Astyanax mexicanus: one gene and its partners. The protein of the gene in region 3 interacts with the protein of the main gene of each other region in a pairwise test. Links are inferred from orthologs where the notes say so. Each region holds a gene or a part of one and is shown on either strand. Other genes may lie near its edges.

Region 1 (7,647 bases), on a different chromosome or scaffold from region 3:
CTCTCTTAGTTTACCACAATTATGTAGAATGTAATGTGGAATAGCTATAAGAATAAGAAACACACTTAACACTTAAATTAAAAATAAATAAGCAGCTGATGAACACTGTAACAATTTGCAACAGAGGCAGCACTTAAGGTGGAATACACAAAATAAGTGAATTTAGCTGTTTATTCTCTACCTTAGAGATGGTGCAATGGTTTGGTCCAGGCATCTGTAACAGCTTCACTGTTTAAAGTGTAATAAAAATGACAAATAAACCAAAGTTAGTAAGTTAAAATGGAATAGTAGGGTATTTTTAGAGTCTATTGTGTGTTTGGTGGAGTTAAATGAATATACAGTGTAAAACTATTAGTTCACTATTTTTCTGCTCAAAGTTTGGTTTAAGTATGTTTAAGAAGCTTTTAAGATTGTGGAGAACAGTTGTGCACCTATAATTATGTCTTTGGCTCTTAGACTATTTAATAAAAATCCAGCCTTGAAAAGAATGATCACAGGTTTACCTGACTGCTGTTTGTGCACTTTATCTTGTCTTTTTCCACTTTTCATGTCCTAAAAATAGTTTTGTTTCATCTTTTGATTGATATGAGGGAAAACAGCGTAACGAGGGTCCAGGACGGTCTGGCTCTGCTGAAATGAAACCTGTATCCTGTGATCTAATTGAGATGGTTTATAATAAGAGATCAATCTAGCAAATACTCACAAAAGGGTCCACGGGCAATATATTGTAAACATATTTAAAACCATTTTATATATAATTAAAAAAAAATAGTATGGCTGCTACGCAGGTTACCATTTGAATCTGATTTATTTCCAAAAATATAGTATATAGGTACATAGGTTAGTGTGGAAATGGTGTACAATTCTATGCAAATATTTGTAGAAACATCGTAACTAAAGGAGCAGAATAACAACTTTATTTCATCATCTCAAACGACTTAATCCAGCGCAGTTTATTAAATCAGTTAAAGGTCTGCTTAGATACACAATTAGCTATTTACTATTTAAACATACCATATGTGTTAAATTTAGTGTTATAAAAATACTGATAATTAAGGTTAAGGTTTCATCATATTGAGTCAAGCAGGAGGAAAGATCCACATGAGCAGCATGTTTTCAAAGAAGCTCTTTATTAATGGCTTACTGTTGCTTAAAGCACTGGAGAGTGAAACCAACTACAACACAATCGTAGAAACACCACAAAGCCATTCCATGGTAGATCACTGTCCGTCGTGCCAGTCACCACAATTTCATATCATATTGATATATTTCATATATCAACATTTCTCTGCCACATATTGAGACATGAGTTTTATTATTTTACCTAGCCTTACTACCATTACAAGTCAAAATATAATTATGCTATCAGTTAGAATAAATGCATCCAAGGCAGTTTTCCCAATCCTGATCCTGTGGCTGCTTCCCTCTTCCTGCTCCAGGCCGTTTGTGGTATGACACACTGTGCAACCTCGGTTTGGTTTGGAAAGAACTTTTGTTTGTGCTGGTTTTCTTAGCTTTAAACCATCTGGATATGAAATGATTCTACATGCTGAATTTGATAATGTGGTTTTGGAGTGACCAAGCTTGCATATGTTCCAGAAACAGCACTAAATTCTCACCACAGCCCACTCAGCCGGCTCATTGTGTTTACTTTTTCAGCAGATTTTAGTAAAACCAATGTAAACAAACTCAAATTTTCTAATATATACAGTAAATAGGCTCTTTTTGTGAGCACAGCAAACTACTAATCTAACACAAGGGTGTATTTTAGGGACTTCCCAGAGCTATATACCTCTCTGCAGACCAGGTCACAGGGGCACTGAGGAGACTTCGCTCAAGGAAATCAGCTGGACCTGACGAGGTGAGCCCAAGACTTCTCAAGGCTTGTGCCTTTGAACTTGGATAACCCCTGTCGAACATCTTCAACATGAGCCTGCAGTTGGGGAGGGTTCCAACGCTGTGGAAAACCTCATGCCTGGTCCCTGTTCCCAAGAAACCTCGTCCCGGTGAGATCAATGACTTCAGGCCGGTAAGACTGTTTCTCCCCCTTTGCATATCGGGAGAAGATTGGTGTTGAGGATGCCATTATCTACCTCCTCCACCGAACCTATTCTCATCTTGACAAGGGCAGTAGTGCTGTGAGAATCATGTTTTTTTTATTTCTCCAGTGCTTTTAACACCATCCAGCCTCCACTTCTCAGAGACAAGCTGGTGAAGATGCATGTGGATCCTCACCTGGTGTCCTGGATCACAGACTACCTCACCTGCAGACCACAGTATGTGAGGCTCACTGACAGTACATCTGAGACTGTGGTCAGTAGCACTGGAGCACCACAGGGGACTGTGCTCTCCCACCTTCCTTTTCACTCTCTACACATCAGACTTCCAGTACAACTCTGAGATGTGCCATCTGCAGAAATTCTCGGATGACACTGCCATTGTTGGGTGTGTCAAGGGTGGTCAGGAAGAGGAGTACAGGAGACAGGTGGATGACTTTGTTGCTTGGTGCCGACTGAACCAACTGCAGTTGAACATATCCAAGACCAAGGAGATGGTGGTGGACTTTCGTAGGTCTGGACTACCCTTGCAGCCAGTCTCCATCGAGGGGGTTGATGTGGAGACAGTAAAGACCTACAAGTACCTTGGTCTGCTGCTGGACGACAAACTGGATTGGTCAACAAATACAGGCACCCTTTACAGGAAGGGACAGAGTCGGCTCTATTTCCTGAGGAGACTGCGGTCCTTTAACATCTGTAAGAAGCTTCTGCAGATGTTCTACCAATCAATCGTGGCCAGCATTCTCTTCTACGCTGTGGTGTGCTGGGGAGGCAACATGAAGAGGAGAGATGCATCACGACTGGACAAGCTGGTCAGGAGGGCCGGGGCAGTGGTTGGAATGGAGCTGGACTCTCTGGTTACAATAGCTGAGAGAAGGACTTTGGATAAACTGCTTTCTATCATGAACAATGATAGTCACCCACTTTACACCACCATCATGAAGCAGAGGAGTGTGTTCAGTGGCAGACTGCTGTCACAGAGCTGCACAACAGACAGACTCAGAAAATCCTTCATCCCGAGAGCCATCAGACTCTTTAACTCCTCCCATCGGGGACGGGATGCTGCTACTGACTGAGTTTAATCCAGTCACACCACATGGACATTATTCAACCACTTAATTATTTACACTAACACTTCCCCAACCTCACTTACATTCAAGTACATTTTACTCATGATTGGGTATTCACATTTTCACATTCTCTTTTTAGAACTAAATTTGTTACAGATGCATATTTATATTATATTTCTATGTCACATCAGTCACTTTCATGATCAAAGTCATTGCACATTGCACTTTGCTCTGTTATTTATTGAATTATTTAATGACCATTAGCAACATCTACTGCACTGCTTATTGTATTGTGTTGTTGCTGCTGGATGCCTAAATTTCCTTCGGGATAAATAAAGTATCTATCTATCTATCTATCTATCTATCTATCTATCTATCTATCTATCTATCTATCTATCTATCTATCTATCTATCTATATGCAGAGATGTGTCATTATTTTGTTATAATCACAATATTCTTAACCTCGATTTTCAATGGAGCAATGAATAGGGTTTTAAAAGAAAACCTCTAATTCTGGGATAAATTATTATTTTCACAACTGTTTTATTTTGTGTGTGTTTTTCTCCTGTACATCACTGGATCTACTAAGGATTGAGCAACTGAGGTCACATGGTGTGTAAAGGAGATGTATGGTCACCAACCAGATAACCTGACCTAGAGAGGTGGTGTATATGGAGAAGAGAAGGGGTGCCAGTACCGAGCCCTGGGGAACCCCAGTGGATAATGAGTGGGCTGAGGACATCTACTACTTTCATTCACACTTCATTTGACTCTTAGGCGCTTTCTTCCTCTCACACAAGTTGGAATATGCTGAAAAAGTAATATATGCAGCTAAACTAGTGTTTATTTCCTTCAATAAAGCTCTCAGTTAAGCTGAGTGACTCAACACATTAAAACATTCTCATTATAAAAGCATCAAAGGCTACACTGAGATATTATATAATAAAGTAAAATATCTAGCCAGGCATTTTTTAGATCATTTTTTAAGAAAAGATGCATATTTACATAGCAATCATTCATATGGCTATCTAGTACTTGTTTATTTTCTACTTAAAATGGTAAGTTTTGATACTAATATTAAACATGAATTACAAAAACCTTAGTGGACAGTTTGAATGTGTTCTTTCTTTTTTTATTTTATCTTGGTCTTGTTATTAGCAGATATTCAAAACCAACTGACTCAAAATCTTTGGGACATTCAAATAGTTTCAATTAAAAAATCTCTACTTGCCAATACTGAATATATCAATATAGTGATATCATGTACAATTATATTAATTACTATTAAATTGTTGTTTAATTGTGCGATTCATATTTTTTGATTGATAGTATTTTCTTTTCTTTACATATTTTATTAATTGATAAGCGTGTTTGTTTGTTGAGTTTTTTCATTATACAGTATTTCTCGTTGTGTTTTACACTGGAGCTTTTATTTTGACATAGACCGGAAACAAACGGAAGTCTCAGTGTTTTGCCCGGTTTAGCCTGTTTTAGTTTCGGATTCAGTAAAGAATTGAAGATCTGTGGAGCTTTTACAGCGAGGTTACAGTCTCCTGCTGCTCACTGGGTATGAGACATGTGTGATTAGTTAGTGTTATTTAGTATTATTTGGTGTTATTTAGCGCTATATAGTGTTAGCTAGTGAACAGCAGTGTGAACGCTGCTAAAGCTAACTAGCTAATAACTAGCCGCGCTAATGATCGGATTTACTGGGCGGGTTTAGGGTTTTTGAAAAACACAGATTTTGTCTGTCTATTTGTTAGACTGTCAGTCTGTTCATCGGTCTGTTTGTCTGTCAGTCTGTTTGGACAAAATAGCAGATACGTAGTCAAATAGTTAGCTAGCTGATTTAAGTGCCAGTAATTGCGATTGTTTTCTGTTTAATTTTTAATACTTTATCTTATTCGAGCTTTAGCTGTTGAGTATATTTTATAACAAAGATGCTAAAACCCACAACACATTAAAATACTTATACAATCTGATTACTGCCATGTGCAACACATCTTTATTCACCATGTGTAATATCACTGCTTATTCACTACTTTTTTTTATCTTTATTTACTGTGAACCTGAGCAGTATCACTGATCACTGCATACCAGTCAAAAGTTTGGACACACCTTCTCATTCAGTGTTTTTTTATTTCTTTATTTCTTGTATTTTATACATTGTAGATTAATATTAAAACATTAAAACGATCAATGGACACATTGAATTACGTAGTAAAGAGTATAAAAGTGATATTCCTCCACATTAAAAAACCTGATGAACTGAGATAGCAACAGCTATTGTTCAGCACCTCCAGCACTCCACTTGGGGACACATTTAAAGTTTTTGCGATTTTCCGGACTGACTGACCCTCAATTTTAAAGTAATGTTGGCCACTCGTTTTACTTTAGTTAGCTGATTGGTTCTTGGCATAATATGTATTTTAACAGTTGTCCAATAGGGCCGTCGGCTGTGTAGTAACCTGATTTCTGCACAACTGGTCCCAACCCCATTAATAAAGCAAGAAATTCCACTAATTAACTAATTAAAAGGCACACCTGAAAACCAATTCAGGTGTCTACCTCTTGAAGCTCATTGAGAGAATGCTAAAAGTGTGCAAAGCAGTAATCAGAGCAAATGAAACTAGAATATAAGAATATATATATATTTGTATTTTATATTTGAAAAAATGTGCTGCTTTCCACAATTCATATGGTGATACATGTTGAATGTGTTTCCCTTTGTTATCTATTGCAAATTTTTTATCTGTGATTATGATTTTATTGATCTTGTTATTGTTTGCTCTCTGAATAGACTTGTGGAGTATCCAGTAGAAGACAGTAACTTCTATATCCGGGTTTAATATAGATTTTCAGGCGTCCACTGTAAAGATGGCTGCTTGACCTCTTGAAATGCAAACAGTTGTATTCAGTAAGTATATTTAAATATCTGTATATAATTTATTTGTGTTCTGTGTCAAACCTTTCCTTGTTTTTGTTTGCAGTAAAGGGTATCTTCTTGCAGACCTCCCATAAAAAAAAAAAATTTGGTTTCTTTTTAAAGGTAGATGCGACATTTTGTTATAATCTGTTATAAACTAAAAGCAACAAATTGGTCCTGTGATGATGTTTTAGGGTTTATGGAACTTCTTTTTGTATGCATCTTTTGTTCTGTTCTTGAGCTGAATTTGCTACGGCGATCTGGCCATGCTTATCACACTAGCCTAGAAATAGTAGTGTAGATCACTAATTAACATAATGAAAACTTTTAGGTGTTGAGTATTAAATGGAGGATATTATGAATTACTTTATACGCACTTATTAATACTAAATCTGTATTAATTATCATTCTTTACAGATGCCTCATGTTACTCCAGTCAAATCTTCTTCTACACCTTTGGGTGGAAATGTAGAAGAAGGCTCTCAGCACCCGCAGACACAAAATCCTGGTCAATCTGCCCCTGAGATACAGCGGATGCATACACCACATGCAGTAACCTACAGGAATAATTCAGTGGGCAACGCTAACCGCACTAGGCCTTTACCTTATCCTGTACTTCTCGGACAGCTGAACATATTGGACAGTGCCAATGTTGTGGAGGTGAATCAGAATTTATTAGAATTACCAGCACAAATCTTAAAAGATAATATATGTGAAGAGGAAATCTCAGGGGTTGATGCAGAAGAACGTAGCTATGAGAGGAGCAGAGAAGAAGTCATTAAAGAAATCGCTGTCAGCAGCACTGCTTTCATCGGCCCGGCGTGTCGACCCGACGCAGCAATAGAGAAGGAACTGAGTGATTTTTACAAAGAGCTTGAGGAGTTTGACCACCATGACAAAGTTGATGGAGTTGATGGAGAATTAGTAGTCACAGAAGGTCTTTCTCGGTTATGTGAACCAGAAACCAATCCATCTCCCAGAAAAGAGACTCGGGAAAATGATCACAAGAGTGCGTATAGGCCTTATCCAGCTACTCGACCTCAAAGAGACTATGAAAATTCTAGGACATGGAAGCCTCAACCACATAACGAAATTACATGGAACGGTCCTGATGCAGCAAACAGCCATCCAAGTCAGTGGCAACATCTTCCACCACCAAGGCTTCCACATGACCCACCACGATTTCCAATTCCTGGCCGCCGTCATTTCTTACCTCCACCCCCACCTATACCTCAGACTCCTACACCACCTCTGCATCTCCTGCCTCCTATTAACAACTACAGTCACCATGACACCAACAGCTGGTGCTCCTGGGAAAGGACCAATTTTCCTCTTCGTAATGACATCAGACTTTCTGCATCAAACTGCCCTGAGTCATTTGAACAGCGAGGAAGAGGTTCAGCTGACTGGCAGCCATATTATAAGACACAGCATTATCACGAGCGAGATCAGTACCAGCGTAACAGTGGCACGTCTCCGGTTTTGATTTTGATGAGAGGACTTCCAGGCTGTGGGAAATCAACTCTGGCAAAGTGAGTTTTCAGAGCGGCTGTACAATCAGTCAGAAGCACACCTGATTACAGTTGTATAATC
Region 2 (7,844 bases), on a different chromosome or scaffold from region 3:
CATGAAATATCGTGATATTATTTTAGGGCCATATCGCCCACCCCTAGTGGGTGGTAATAATTGTGATCTATGGCTTCTGACAACGCACGCAAGACAGACAGACTCTGGACGATATCAAAACCACATTCTATGTAAAAGGCCCCACACAGATATCCTGGAGGTAATTTAACTAAATTTTTGGCATGTTTTGTATACATTTATTATAAGTTTCTTTTTCGTTATGAAGATTGAACAAAATGTGCAGCAAGAGGGGCATTCCCTGGTTACAGCTACAAAGTGAGGTTTCAATCTAGCAATGAAGTCATATTTAACAGTAAAATTTTACTTTCAATTTCAGTAGGGAAAGTTCCACATTTTACAGTAAAGACATCGCCAAAGGTGTAGCTTTAAGGCAAAAAAAATAAATAAATTGTGCTTTCAGCAAAAGACGCATTAAATCTGACACAGGATTACATCCAAACAGTTAGGCTAGTTAATTTCATATGTGATGCCATTAAAAAAATAGAAGGGTGTTTCATACCATATATTTTACACAAGGATCACTATCTGCATAGTGATGTTGCGTAACCAACCAGCACCTTTAGCCTGTTTGAAATGAGAGATGTGGAGTAACAGCCTAGCAATTATAATCCAGCACCCTCAAACAAGGGTGTGGCCTTTTTATGTAGTGTATTGTGCATTCATTTTGGGAGGAATTTCCTGCCCCAAAACATAACTTTCAATTTTAGTATGGGAATTTTATCATTTTACAGTAATGAAGGTATATGGCCCTAACTGTAGCTTTATGGCAAAAATATTGCTTTCACCAATAGATACACTGAATCAAACATAAGTTCAGGCTTCTTAAGTCTAAACACATATTATTCAGGGATATTACTTAAATCCTGGAGAAGTATATGGTCACAGGCACGCCTCACCCTCAGCATGTGCTAAGAGTTCTAGAACAGCACAGGAAACGTTTACACCCACACTTATTAACTTTAATATGCTTCGCCCACTCTCAACCATGAGGCGAAGCAAAAATTGATAACATACCGGTGCTACATACTGTACATAGCACCAGCATCACTATCTGCATAGTGAGGTAATAAACCGATACCATCAGGCCATCCAAGTGATTGATGGACAGATGTTGAGTAACAGCTTAACAATAAGATCTAGCACTCTTAAACACAGGTGTGGCCTTTCAATCTACTGTATTGTAATTCTTATTGTAATCCTTTTCTATGCATTTCTATCAAAGCTACCAGAACCCGCCCTGTTCTGCACAGGCTCACAAAACCCAAAAGAGCTGTGTATTATAGAACAGACTATTTCTTTAGCTGTGCATTACAAAAACACTAAAAATCATTTTACATCAGATGTGTTAATAGCTATGAATGTCCCTCCTAAATTGTGAAACCTGTCTCTCCTAAATTGTGATTTTACAGGAAAGGCCAAAAATGTCCTTAACTCTAAATGAAAGTTAATGTAAAATGAGTAATTTTAAAGCATTTCTAGTAGTCCATTCATTCAGAAATATTTACACAGTATACACAGCAGCTACATGGTTCAAATGAAGATACACATTTGTTTATTGGACAGAAGCAAGTGATGTATTTAATGAATAATAAAACTGGAACATTCACAAAATTATTTAGCTAGCAGTTATATAGAAGTTTTAGTCGGTTTTTGCCATATCTTGTATCTTTTTTTAAATAAATTTTAAAAATCCCTATCAATTCATATTGTGATAATAGTGCTATTCTTCTGTTGTTGTTTTGTTTTGAGTTTTTTGCTATTTACAGTGCAACTTTATAGTGGTATATTCTGTATGATAGTTTACATTCAAAATTTATACACGCACTAAATAATCTGCACTTTAGTATTTGGTAGTTTTTTTTGTTACTTGTGTTACTGTTTGTTACATTAAGAATATTCAAAATCTTGGAAAGTTACTGTTACATAATGGAGAATAGTTACAGATTTGTTGAAGGTTTAAAACTTTTCATGTATATTGTTGCAGTAGTATATTGTTGAACATTAATTTATTACATATATATATATATATATATATATATATATATATATATATATATATATATATATATATATATATATATATATATATATTTTTTTTTTTTTTTTTTTAATTCCCTTGTCATATCATTAAAATTATGGTTATTGCGCAAATACCCTGAAGTATCGTGATAATGTTTTAGGACCATCTTACCCACCATTCATGTACAGAATTTTGGGGGGAAATCAGTCCAGTAATTTCCAAACGTAGAGCTATAAATTAACATTAAACAAACCCACAACTAAGCAATTGGGGACGCACCTAGTTCGCTTTCCAGTTTGCGGTCTACAATGACTTTTCTGGACTTTTCCCCACTCACTCGCTCGCTCGCTCGTAGGATAGTTAGCTCGCTACCACCTGTCATTACCACCATGGGTAGAACTTCACATTCACATATTCACATTATTAAACACATTCGCTAAATATCTTTATTATTACTACTACTACTACTACTACTACTACTACTACTACTACTAAGTTACTACTATGTAACCAGATTAGCTAGCTCTAGAGGTGACACCATGACAAAAACACCCTTGGTTGACACAGCTAACCTAGCGTTAGCTAGCTAGTTACGTTAGGATACTAAGAGACCTGCTAGACTGCAGCAACAAAGAGCAGCTGACCTTAAACGGAGCTTAATTAGCAAGATAAACCACCCTGTTTTCTGCCTGTGAACCTAAAAAGCAAAACTGTTCGAGTTGTGATCGATTAATCACCAGAGACACGGAGTTTCGACCTTCGGTCTGTCTGCAGTGTTGTTGTAGCAGCTGTGTTAGCTAGCTACTAACGTTAAGCTAGTTTAGCTAAGCTAGAACTAGCGTAAACGATTTAGCGGCATTTAAAGTCACTAAAGCAACCGTTTTAGTGTCAACGTACCTTCAGGAGACCAGTCAGATGAATCCAGTCCTATTCTGCCGTTCACAAGGTTTAACTTTCAGACAGACTGCCTCCCTTCCTCTATCCTGCTCTTATACTGCCACCAGCTAGCTACAGAAAAGCGGAAGGAACAATTAGCCACGCCCACACGATTTTATGGACCATAGTGACTAGTGTGTGTCTCTCACACTAAAGCAGACCTTTTTTATAGATACAAAACTAAATGGGAAAAAGAACTGGGTTTGGCTATAGATCAAAATTTGTGTGAAGATCTTTATAGAGATCTTATAGGGATCACATCTACCACAAGCTTAAGACTGATTCGATCTAATTTCCTACACCAACTTTATTATACTCCAATTAAGCTGCACACTTTAAATTCAAAGGTGTCCCCCCCTTTCTTACAGATGTGGTGTTACTGATGGTATTTTCCCTCACTGTACATAGTCATGCCCTAAAGTACATGACTTCTGGCAGAAAATTTGTAATATGTTATCTGAGATTCTTGGTATCTTTTTTCCAATAGGTTCAGAAGTTTGACTATTGGGTAATTAAAAAAAAAAGTTGCACCATAAGGCTCACTGAAATCTTGTTAAAATATATGTATTTCTGAAATTAACCTTTGTATACCCCTAGAAAAGATCACCTACCATTTAAGAAACAAATTGGAAATATTTTGGTATGGCAGCCCTTCTTTGACTATATTAAAAAAGACTCATTTGAAAAGACCCATTGATTTATGGTGATGTAAGATCTCTTTAAATTTTATCGTTGACTATATATATGTTAGTTGTACACTAGGTTAACCATATTTGTATTAATTGTATTTATACTATATGTATATGTATAAATATATTATACTGTATGTCCTATCAGAAAAAATGTCAATTTCTTTTATTTACATTTTTTTTAGTATTGTATTAGTTGTGTTTTATGTTCAAACTAAAACTAAATAAAATATCCAAAAAAAACAGACATTTTATTTTATTGTTGAAAGAACATACAAATATATGAGATATATATGTCATGTCACAGAACAAGGATTAAAGAGTACTGTTACACTTTATCAAGCCTTAAGTACTTGCACTTGTTTTATGCTGCTGCTACTTCCCTTTATGTTATGTGTAGTTATCTTGCTATCTATTTCAATTAAATATTTTATTCTTATTTTATTTTATCTACATTACAATTGCTCTTTTGGGTGGAACTGAGCTGTGAGATAACATTTCTGTTCCACCTCATGTACCACGTGATGCGAATGACAATAAAGTCTTACTGAATCCTTGAATCCTTGAGGGTCTAATAAAATAAGAAAAAGAAAAAAAGAGTCCTGTAGTCCTTTGGATTCACGTACGTGAAGTATAGTAGCATGTGTATAAACTTTAAATGTAACATATTCTACAAAATATACCCCTTTAAAGTTTCACTGTAAATAGCAAAAAAATCTATATATTTCTGTTTGCGTTTGTGTCCATACTGCTGCATTATGGAAGTAAAACAGTGTCCATACTGCATGGCTGAATGCCAAGTGGAGTCGGCACAACACCAACTTCCTGTAATTGATCTAAAAGGTTGAACCATTTAGAAAAGTGTTTTCACACTGCAGATGAACTGGACCATAGTTCAGTATATCCAGAGCTTGGTTGTAAACTGAAAAGTCTGAAAGTCAGTAGAAAGTAGGTGTGAAATCACCCTTAAATGCTAAATAAAATGTTTCACAGACACAGTTTTATAACACAAGTGATGGATTTATTGGATTTTAAACTTAAAATATTACAGTCATGTGCCCTCTATACAAAAGAAAAAAAAAACAAATGAGAAAAAAAAAATTATGTTAATATGCAAAAGTCATAATGATAAACTCATGCTTCCACAGATGTTTCAGGTGTACCTTTGACATAGACGGTTTAATATACATATTGTGGTTAAATGGAAGTGTTAGAAAAAGAAAAAAGCAGTAAAAAGAGAGAAATAGGCTAACCCAAACAAATAACCCCAGCTCCTATTTACAAAACCCTATTTTATTAGTACAAAAACACAGTGTTTCAAATAAATCATTTAATAAAACAAAGTGATTAAATGTGTTAATATGATTAATATGACTATGTCAATAAACACAGCCTAGGTGTCTACAGGTGTCTACAGAATAAACTTTCTTGTGCTCAAAATATACACTCCCTGTAATGTGATTCAAATCCCTTTTACAGCAGCTTCAGGAAAGCTAAAGTTTGATTGCAGTTTATTTTCTGGAAACAACATTCATAGTTTTATGTAGAGTATGCCATTTCATCATTGTGTGGGTAGCCATGCTCTGAAATCAGGCCAACAGAAATCTACCTACCTACAAATACTTTAATCTGCCTGTAAAATCTAGCATAAACTACCCACTGACGACACACTACACATCTCTCAGAACAGCAGAAAACTAAAGACTTATGTTTATGTGGGCTGACAATAAAGTAGCAAAATTAGCAGAATAAAATATAAAACCACATAATTATTTATATATATAATTATACAAGTATTATATCCAAATATATCCATATGCACAATTGTAAGGAATACTTGTTAATGATTCACATCATAATAGTTTTTGTGTCAAAGTGGAATCTTAGCTATAGGTTTTGATTTTCTGAGTGATGAAAGCACAACACACAGGGCACTTTTCAACAGAATTGGAACATTTTCTGCAGGTGACCAAGTGCCCACATGGGATGAAGGCAATGGAACGGTCATTATCCATGCAAACTTTGCAGAGCTTTTCACGCTGGAGCTTCTCCAGTGTCTTTAAAGGGTCCTCATCTGCAACACATAAGGAAAAAAAACACTGTTTACAAAAGAACATGAGACAGTATAACCTTTCTAAAGATAATTTACAAATAACATCACTTCATAGAAAAATCATATAAAAATGCACGGCAACAACATATTAAAAAACCTAAGGTGTACTCACACTAAACCTGGTTGCCCTGTACCATGCCTGAGCATTATTGTCCTAAATTCATGTTTATCCTATTGCAAATACTCTTAAAACAATTGTGTTCTGGTTTCACAATAATAATACAAGTCTGTCATAGAAAATTAGAACAGTGTGCATTTTACTTTAATATCAAGCTGCAAAAATTGCTGAAATTATATATTGTGTATTGTGCCCTATGCCCTGGCACAGTTGGACAAACTGGACAAAGACTTTACATTATGCTGATTATGCTCATTATTTGTAATATGTGCATTTCAAATCTTCTTACCTCTCTCTTTATTTGAGAATACATTTTTACTGCTATCACTCTTCAGCTCCATCAGTATGTTCCCCACATCATGCCCCAAGATAAAGAAGCAGTTTGGGTTGAACTTGGAATGTTCACTCCAGGGAACATCACCTTCCTTCCAGGCTTTCAGTATGCCTCCACAGCAGAAGCACTGCACCAGGTCATTTATGGTTGGTTTAGGCACATAAAACAGCCCAGCCCCCACCAAGTCATTGGGCTGGACCGGGGACGAGGAGGGCCAGTTGCTGAACGTCCTCAGCCGGGCTTCTTCACTCCTCATGTGTGGCACTTTCGGGTAGGGGGACTCATTCACAATCTCTCCTTTGTGGAGTCTGATGGCTTTCGCCTCTTGATTGGAACTGCTGGCCTTAGAGGAATGATCACCTATGAGGTTCCTCCTACTATTAAAACAGGACAAGTCCTGTGATCCATCATGGGTTTCGAGTGTGCCAGCAGTGTTGAAATCAGCCATTGTCACAGTGTGTGTCTAAATAAGAGAAACAGATAGCACTAAATTGGTTGTTAAAACATACAACCCATTCACATCCCGAATAAAAGGTAACATAGTTGAATTTACTAATTTATTAAACTAGTAATTTTGAAAACTGAAATAGGCATTTAGATTTTTTTTGCATTAACATACCTTCTGGAGATCCGTCAGATATATATAAAACCACTTCCTCTGCTCTAATGAATGCACTGTTGTTAAAGCTCTAGCTAAATAATAAGAAAGAGAAAGTGACGCCCCATGGGAACACCCACATGCTTTGTCTGACAATCAGAAGAAGTGTTTACTGGGATGGTCTGATAGAAACGGCCTCTGTCTTTTTTTCTGACAATTAATAATGAAAAATTCATGCTTCCACAGCAATTCAAGAATTGCCCATGTAAAACAATCAAAATTACTATTTTTTGTGTTTTATGTCTTTGAACCGTGTTACATGTGTATTGAAAACATAACAATAGTACTCGTAAAAGTAAAAGATGAAGGGTATATATACAGTATTAGGCAGTGGGTGTACTGTGTGAAGATCCAAATGACTCTGACAGGCCCAATTGTGATGGTTAGGTGACTGGGTCAGACCCTAATAGCAAAGAACATTAAATAAACATAATAAAAAAACAACAACCATAAAACAATATTTTTTAACTATGCCTAATAGTAATCGGTTAATGTTGCAATTCTGACATTGAATCAAAATTTATTTAAAGGTTTTGAATGATTTGTTCTCTAAATATTCACTCAATATTCACTTTTAGGAGAATGGTACTTCCCACAAATAATAATATTAATATTAATAATTATTATTATTTAACTCTGCAACTTTCTACTCTGCAAGAACACAGTACAGGCCATAAGAAGATACATATTTACTGTAAATAATGTTTAGTACAAACCAAACATATAAAATCATAAATTTGAATCATCATAAAATAGATGTGCAGAAATAAATCAGTTAAAAGAGAAAAACAGAGACCACAAACCAACTTAAAGCGCTTCATGGCACATGGACCCACGAACTGCACAATCGTTAACAAATTATTTGAAATGAATCACTTAATAAAACAAAGTAATAATAAATAACATTTATAGAAAGATACTTTGTTAATAAACATTGTGTGGGTGTCTACAGGGG
Region 3 (7,576 bases):
TTAAGATTGCCCATATTTTAGCCTTTTTACAATATGTGTTCTTGAGGACATTAAATAATAAAAATATTTCACAGAAAAAAATAAATGTAAATAACTTCTACACTATTATTAATTAAACATTTGCTGCTTTTTAAAAGGGTATAAATGCACTACTATGCTATTAGGTTTTTAATATACAAGTGTAGGAATGACCTAAAAATAAGGATCTAGTGATACAGACTGAATTTTTATCTGATTTATGTTTGTATACATACACACAGTAATTTGCCAATATAGGTGAATGGGATATAATAAATATAATACAATTATATTAATATAATAAAAGCCTACACGTTTTTAAGTGTGCTTTTGATCATCCAACATTCTGACTTCACTACCACTGAATGCAATCAAAGCCTTAATTGTAAAAATAAAAATCGAGTAAAAGGCCGTCTCTGGACAAAAGAGCCAGTTGCTTCAGAAAAAGCAGGATAAACTCTCTTTTGGATTTTGGAAAAAACATTAAATAAGATGGTGTTCCAATACTTTTTAATGCTTTATTTATAAAGCATGTAAGAGTTTGGGGTGTTTTTTGAATACTGGAACTAGTACTGTGTATTTAAAAGTTATATGAACATCAAACAGACACTGACTACAGATGTAAACAGAGACATCCTCATGAACCCATCCCCAAATTTCCTGCTCAACAGGTCTAGCAGAGGGATGAATACTCTGAAATTTCTCTGCCCTGCAGGCCCCCCATTCCACAGTTTCTGTAGTGATTGTAAGCTGAAATAATTTAAACAAGGAAATAACAAGAGATGCAAAAAACGTTGGGTAAACTAATTGATCTGGTCAAAAAAGGAAGAAAAAAAAACTACTTTGTTTTCCATATAACAAATTTAAGTAAGTTAAATATGGGGGTGCAGCATTTCTTCTTTACTTTAGGATTTTTGCAGCAGCAGCGGCACACCCAAACACCACCAAAACCTCCCCCGGGCTGATAAGAGACCTGCTATTTACAATGCAGTGAGCAAACAAACTGCAGGTTCAAGTTCATTATATGCTCTACTCACAAATGAAATTAAACAAAGCATTTCGCACCACCTATGCTTAGTTTAAGTTGAATTCACAGTTGAGGTAAATATGTGATTAGACTCGCACTGGTGAGGCACATTTATGATTAGAACTGCACTGTTGAGGAAAATATATGATAATGTACGATAATTATCATGACAGCTAAAGGAAGAGATGCCTAGAAATGAAGACAGCTGCAGGACAAGGCCTGGCAAAGCATCATAAAGGATAAATACCCAGTGTGTGGTGATGTTCATGGGTTCCAGAGTTCAGGCAGTCATTGCTTGAAAATGTTTCTCAACAAAAGATAAAAAACTTACATTTTATTAATGGTAAAGTTCATAAATTATATTTATATTTTTGTTTAACCCCCTGAATTTAATCTGAAATTCAATTAAGTTTAATTACAGTTCAGATGTTCAAATCCAGTGTGGTGGCATGCAGAAACAAAATTAAGAGCATTTTGTCACTGTTTAAATATTTATGGCCCTAACTGTATATTTGTTAAGAGGTTCAGTGAATGTTGCCCTTTATTGCTGTGTAATTATTTTTAACATTTTTTTTTTTTCAGCCTTCATTTTTAAAATTGTATTGATATATCTATTTATAAAACAGTTTATAATGGAGTGAATGGGTCAACAAACCTATTTAAATGCATTCAGATTAACAACTGAAACTGTCGCAACAGCGCCATCTACAGGTGAAAGATAGTATGTGCTACAGAGAGCAGGCGGACCAGAAAACACTAAGATACGACTAGAATAAGAATTAATGTCATTATAATTTTGGGTACATATCATTCTCATCTGTAAATGGAAAACCTCAGACCTTTTTATTTAGTAATAATAATTTATACATGTATTTATACCTTGACCTAACAAAAAGACTAAAGGTATATTTGTACATGAAAAAATATTTAATTTTGCTCCTTGTATTTTTGTGTACTGTGAGTTTGTTTTCCCTTTTACTGATTCAAACTGTCATTTAAATAAAAATCGAAAATAAAATAAATGTAAATATAATGAAATAATAATAATAATAATAATATAATTAATAATTATAATAAATAAGTTAGCCACTGTCTCTACGATTCTAGTATTAGAACAGGTAAGTCTAGTCTAAATAAAGACCAGTTTATTGACCATATTAAACGATTCACATTGTTTGCGCTGGTGATTCTATGGAACTCCTATAAGGCTACGTTTACATTAAAACTGAACTGAAGTGACTCAAATATAGTGTTTTTATAGCTGTGTGAACGTGCCAATTTCCTTTTTTTAATTAAATTTAAGTCAATTTTATATATGATCCTAAATCGGATACGTATCCGATCCACGGACATGCAATAAGAATGTGAACGGTCCAGCAAAAGATGCTCCACATATGCGCTGCGGACAAACGCATCCATTTCACCTTTATAAAGCTACGAGTCGTCTCTCAAATATGACGTTTTTTGTTGGTGGTGAAGAAGGCGACGTTTACGTTTTTCTCAAATCAATGTACAGATTCATTCACATTACGCACAGATACAGGTCACTTATATTTGTGAATGTGAACCGTCACCGAATCTGAACTGAGCAAGAATCGGATTTGAGCAACGTGGCTTGTAATGTGAACTCTGAATACAGCAGCTAATACTTTTCATTTCAGTTTTTAAAGCCATTCAGATATCTGACCACGTTTTACAGCACCAACTACATCACACACACAGTCTGTCCACACACTGTTCACACAGCTCGAGCAGTAGCAGCAGCAGCGCTGTTCGCGCGCTCAGGGCGGCTGCTGGAGTCACTGACCTGCCCTCCGATCGTCACGTCGAAGAAGACGATGGGGTTGTTGGGGTTTGAGGGCTGAACGTTCATTCTGGAGTAAAACTGCAGGTTAAAAAAACTTCAGAACAGAAACTTCACTCTCCTTCACGCTAACACAGGAACCCGTTTCAAACTGCTCCGCTACGGCAAGCGCGACTGGACATTTCTACGAGGCTCCACGAGGGACAAACCGAAAACCATTTTCGTAACGCCTCAAGACTAGCTGGTATATTTAATATTTTCCCCAATTTAAAGCAGAAATGACCAGTACATGTTTTTATTTTTACTTTAAACGTGGGGGGAGAGATTTTCCTTTTAATAATTAGAAGCCCTTTCCTGCATTCTGGTGTATTTTCTACAAATAGTTTAACTCCTAATTTTACCTACAATTTAACCTAAAAGTGTGTGCACAGAAACATAATTTACCTCATGAAAGATGCTTTAAAGTGTCACTCAGGTGGTTTAACTGTCCCTTTGGACACATTTTGGACATGTTTTGAGCAGGAGTCTAGCAGCTGTGCCCCATGAATCTCTTCCTTTCTCTCTGCTCCTACTCCTAGCCCCTCCCACTACTCAGGCTGTTGTCTGACAAGTAAATGAACCAATTATCTTCCACCAACTAAAAAATGTGGCAACAGAAATTAATGAATTAAAGTGTGAAAGGACTAAAAATTTTATCTAAAACTTTATTTAAATAACAGGGAAAGTCCCCAGAGCTACATAATAGTTCCTGTTACCCATATCAATTTCTAAATAATAATAATAATCTAAAACTGATACCAATCAAATCAATCAAAATTGAATCAGATAAATTTAGTGAGCTGCTCATAGTTTTGTTTTTTATTGTGGGCAGATGACTGTAAATATTGTAAAGTTAAAATCATGATGTAATGTGAATGACATAAGTGTCATAATTTTTTTTTTAACATTTTATTCCAGAAATAATGTCATCTATGGGGCGTACATTTTGTCACCTTGCAACCACACACAAACATATTTTATTAAGATTTTAGGTGATAGATTAACACAAAGTAGCACGTAATTGTGAAGTGGAATGAAAAATGATTCACTCAAAATTTTGTCAAATAAAAATCTGAAAAGTGTGATGTGCAAAAGGATTCAGCCCCCTTTACTCCATGGAACTCAATATACAGATCAGAGATAAAATTGTGAAGACATTTAAAGCAGAGTTAGATTATAAAAACATATCTCCTACTTTGAGCATCCTAAGGACCACTGTTTAATCCATCATCAAAATATGGAATAAAGTATTTTACAACTGCAAACCTACCAAAGACATGGCTGTCCACCCAAATTGACAGATCAAGCAAGGGGAGCACTAGTCAAAGACGCAGCTAAAAGATCCATGGTCACTGTGGAGGAGCTGCAAAAATCCACAGTTCAGGTCCACAGGACAACTTTTAGTTGGGGGCTCTACAAATCTTGCCTTTATGAAAGAGTGGCAAGAAGAAAACCATAGTTGAAAGAAAAACATAAGAAGTTTGCCACAAGCCTAAAAGCAAAGCGCTATGTGTAACAGAAAAGTAACACTGCTCTTTGCCCTGACACCATCCCCACTGTTAAACATGGTGGTGGCATCATCACGATGTGGGGATGCTTCTGTTAGCAGGAACAAGGAAGCTGGTGAGAGTTGATGGGAAGATGGATGGAGCTCAACACAGGGCAATCCTGAAAAAGAAAACCTGTTGGAGGCAAAAGACTTGAGACTGGAAAGAAGATTCACCTTCCAGCAAGACAGTGACCCTAAACATTCAGCCAGAGCTACAGTGAAATGATTTAGATCAATGAATATTAATATGTTAGAATGGCCCAGTCAAAGTCCCGACCTAAATCCTATTGAGCTTCTGTGACGAGATGTTTATTACTGTTCATCGACGCTCTCCATCCAACCTGACTAAGCTTGAGCTAAGTCTCTAGATGCACAAAACTGATAGACATACCTCAAAAGATGTGCAGCTGTAATTGCAGCGAAAGGTTGCTCTACTAAGTGTTAATATAGGGGGGCTGAATACTTTTGCACATCAAACAAGATTATTTGATTAAAATGTAATTTTTTATTGACTTTACAATTATGTGCTACTTTGTGTTGGTCCATCACTTAAAACCAATAAAATAAATGTAGGGTTGTGGTTGTAAGGTGACAAAATGAGAAAATGTTAAAGGGGTATGAATACTTTTGCAAGCCACTTTGTGTCACTTACGGACTTCATAAGTTAAAGTAATAGACAGACTGCTGTAAGATACTGAACAGCTTTTAAAGGGTCTGTGATACATAAGTCACATGAGCTTTTCTGGGTTAATGCATAGGTCCCATAATTTACCATTCAGTTTTTACCGAACGTATTTAATCATTTTATCAATTTAAAAACAATGTTCCCTTTAATGTAATTGGCATTGATTCCATGAGTTTTCTTCATACAAAAACATACAACATATTTTCCTTACCTTCAAATAAAACCTGAGAGGGTTCTAATTTAAGAAAATAAGAAACAACTTACTACACTGCTCAAAAAAATAAAGGGAACACTCAAATAACACATCCTAGATCTGAATTAATGAAATATTCTCATTGAATACTTTGTTCTGTACAAAGTTGAATGTGCTGACAACAAAATCACACAAAAATCATCAATGGAAATAAAATGTATTAACCAATGGAGGCCTGGATTTGGAGCCACACACAAAATTAAAGTGAAAAAACACACTACAGGCTGATCCAACTTTAATGTAATGTCCTTAAAACAAGTCAAAATGAGGCTCAGTATTGTGTGTGGCCTACACGTGCCTGTATGACCTCCCTACAACGCCTGGGCATGCTCCTGATGAGGTGGCGGATGGTCTCCTGAGGGATCTCCTCCCAGACCTGGACTAAAGCATCCGCCAACTTCTGGACAGTCTGTGGTGCAACGTGACGTTGGTGGATGGAGCGAGACATGATGTCCCAGATGTGCTCAATCGGATTCAGGTCTGGGGAACGGGCGGGCCAGTCCATAGCTTCAATGCCTTCATCTTGCAGGAACTGCTGACACACTCCAGCCACATGAGGTCTAGCATTGTCCTGCATTAGGAGGAACCCAGGGCCAACCGCACCAGCATATGGTCTCACAAGGGGTCTGAGGATCTCATCTCGGTACCTAATGGCAGTCAGGCTACCTCTGGTGAGCACATGGAGGGCTGTGCGGCCCTCCAAAGAAATGCCACCCCACACCATTACTGACCCACTGCCAAACCGGTCATGCTGAAGGATGTTGCAGGCAGCAGACCGCTCTCCACGGCGTCTCCAGACTCTGTCACGTCTGTCATGTGCTCAGTATGAACCTGCTTTCATCTGTGAAGAGCACAAGGCGCCAGTGGTGAATTTGCCAATCCTGGTGTTCTCTGGCAAATGCCAAGCGTCCTGCACGGTGTTGGGCTGTGAGCACAACCCCCATCTGTGGACGTCGGGCCCTCATACCATCCTCATGGAGTCGGTTTCTAACCGTTTGTGCAGACACATGCACATTTGTGGCCTGCTGGAGGTCATTTTGCAGGGCTCTGGCAGTGCTCCTCCTGTTCCTTCTTGCACAAAGGCGGAGGTAGCGGTCCTGCTGCTCGGTTGTTGTCTCCTGGTAGCGCCTCCAGCCTCTAGACACTACGCTGACAGACACAGCAAACCTTCTTGCCACAGCTCGCATTGATGTGCCATCCTGGATGAGCTGCACTACCTGAGCCACTTCTGGGGGTTGTAGAGTCCGTCTCATGCTACCACGAGTGTGAAAGAACCACCAACATTCAAAACTGACCAAAACATCAGCCAGACAGCATAGGTTCTGAGACGTGGTCTGTGGTCCCCACCTGCAGAACCACTCCTTTATTGAGTGTGTCTTGCTAATTGCCAATAATTTCCACCTGTTGTCTATTCCATTTGCACAACAGCAGGTGAAATTGATTGTCAATCAGTGTTGCTTCCTAAGTGGACAGTTTAATTTCACAGAAGTTTGATTTACTTGGAGTTATATTGTGTTATTTGAGTGTTCCCTTTATTTTTTTGAGCAGTGTATATAAGTTCTATATAAAATACTATATAAAAGGTAGATTAATTTAAAAGCTCTCAATTAACAGGTGCAATAAAGTGCAATAATCTGTATTATAATACTTATAATATACACACACACAATAAGCTTTAATTCCAAAATCAGAAAAAGAAAACATCATTTAAAATTTCAATTTAATGAAAGTTCTTTCAAAACATATAGTACAGCATCATGTAGCATGTAAGCCATAATTAATTTAATAAAATGACCCACATAAAAAAGGAAAGAAAAAACAACAACAATTTAGACAGAAGAAGGTCCCTTAAAAGGGCAAGTGTCCAGCGAAGATTTCTATCTCCTGGGCCAGTTGTGGTGAAATCCTCTGGAATTATACAAATGTATTAATACCATACAACAATGCTGTATAAATTAATACTACTTAATATTTAAAGAATCCGGCAAAATAATCCATGTATTCTATTACCTTTCGGACTTGGCAGGCATGCCTCTGCCTCCAGGACCCTGCCTGTGTCCTCTTGGGTTTTTCTACGAAAAAATAAACAGTTTTATTTTATCTCCATCCTCTCATAAACTGAATATTAAACTGCAGTCTATAGACTGAGATGAATAGCATTATTGTAGAATAAAAATAAAAAAAATAGTACCTTCCGTCTG

Evidence for each region.
Region 1: the proteins of ppih (region 3) and n4bp2l2 interact in binary tests that used the Homo sapiens proteins (3 or more experiments, as listed by UniProt). The two-hybrid records come from large-scale screens. The link is inferred for Astyanax mexicanus from reciprocal best matches to the Homo sapiens genes PPIH and N4BP2L2.
Region 2: the proteins of ppih (region 3) and E3 ubiquitin-protein ligase XIAP interact in binary tests that used the Homo sapiens proteins (3 or more experiments, as listed by UniProt). The two-hybrid records come from large-scale screens. The link is inferred for Astyanax mexicanus from reciprocal best matches to the Homo sapiens genes PPIH and XIAP.

Annotation. Positions count from the first base shown.
Region 1 is NC_064425.1:46,077,400-46,085,046, reverse strand, and holds the start of n4bp2l2 (NEDD4-binding protein 2-like 2), read left to right. Parts: upstream 1-4,571; 5' UTR 4,572-4,695; intron 4,696-5,928; 5' UTR 5,929-6,045; intron 6,046-6,471; coding exon 6,472-7,586; intron 7,587-7,647.
Region 2 is NC_064417.1:41,604,872-41,612,715, reverse strand, and holds the start of E3 ubiquitin-protein ligase XIAP, read right to left. Parts: upstream 3,078-7,844; 5' UTR 2,939-3,077; intron 1-2,938. Other genes in the region: E3 ubiquitin-protein ligase XIAP-like, read right to left, coding at 5,550-5,740, 6,187-6,679.
Region 3 is NC_064419.1:17,955,130-17,962,705, reverse strand, and holds the start of ppih (peptidyl-prolyl cis-trans isomerase H), read right to left. Parts: upstream 3,036-7,576; 5' UTR 2,919-3,035; coding exon 2,853-2,918; intron 1-2,852. Other genes in the region: exosc10 (exosome component 10), read right to left, coding at 7,253-7,283, 7,386-7,447, 7,567-7,576. UniProt on the Homo sapiens protein: PPIase that catalyzes the cis-trans isomerization of proline imidic peptide bonds in oligopeptides and may therefore assist protein folding. Participates in pre-mRNA splicing.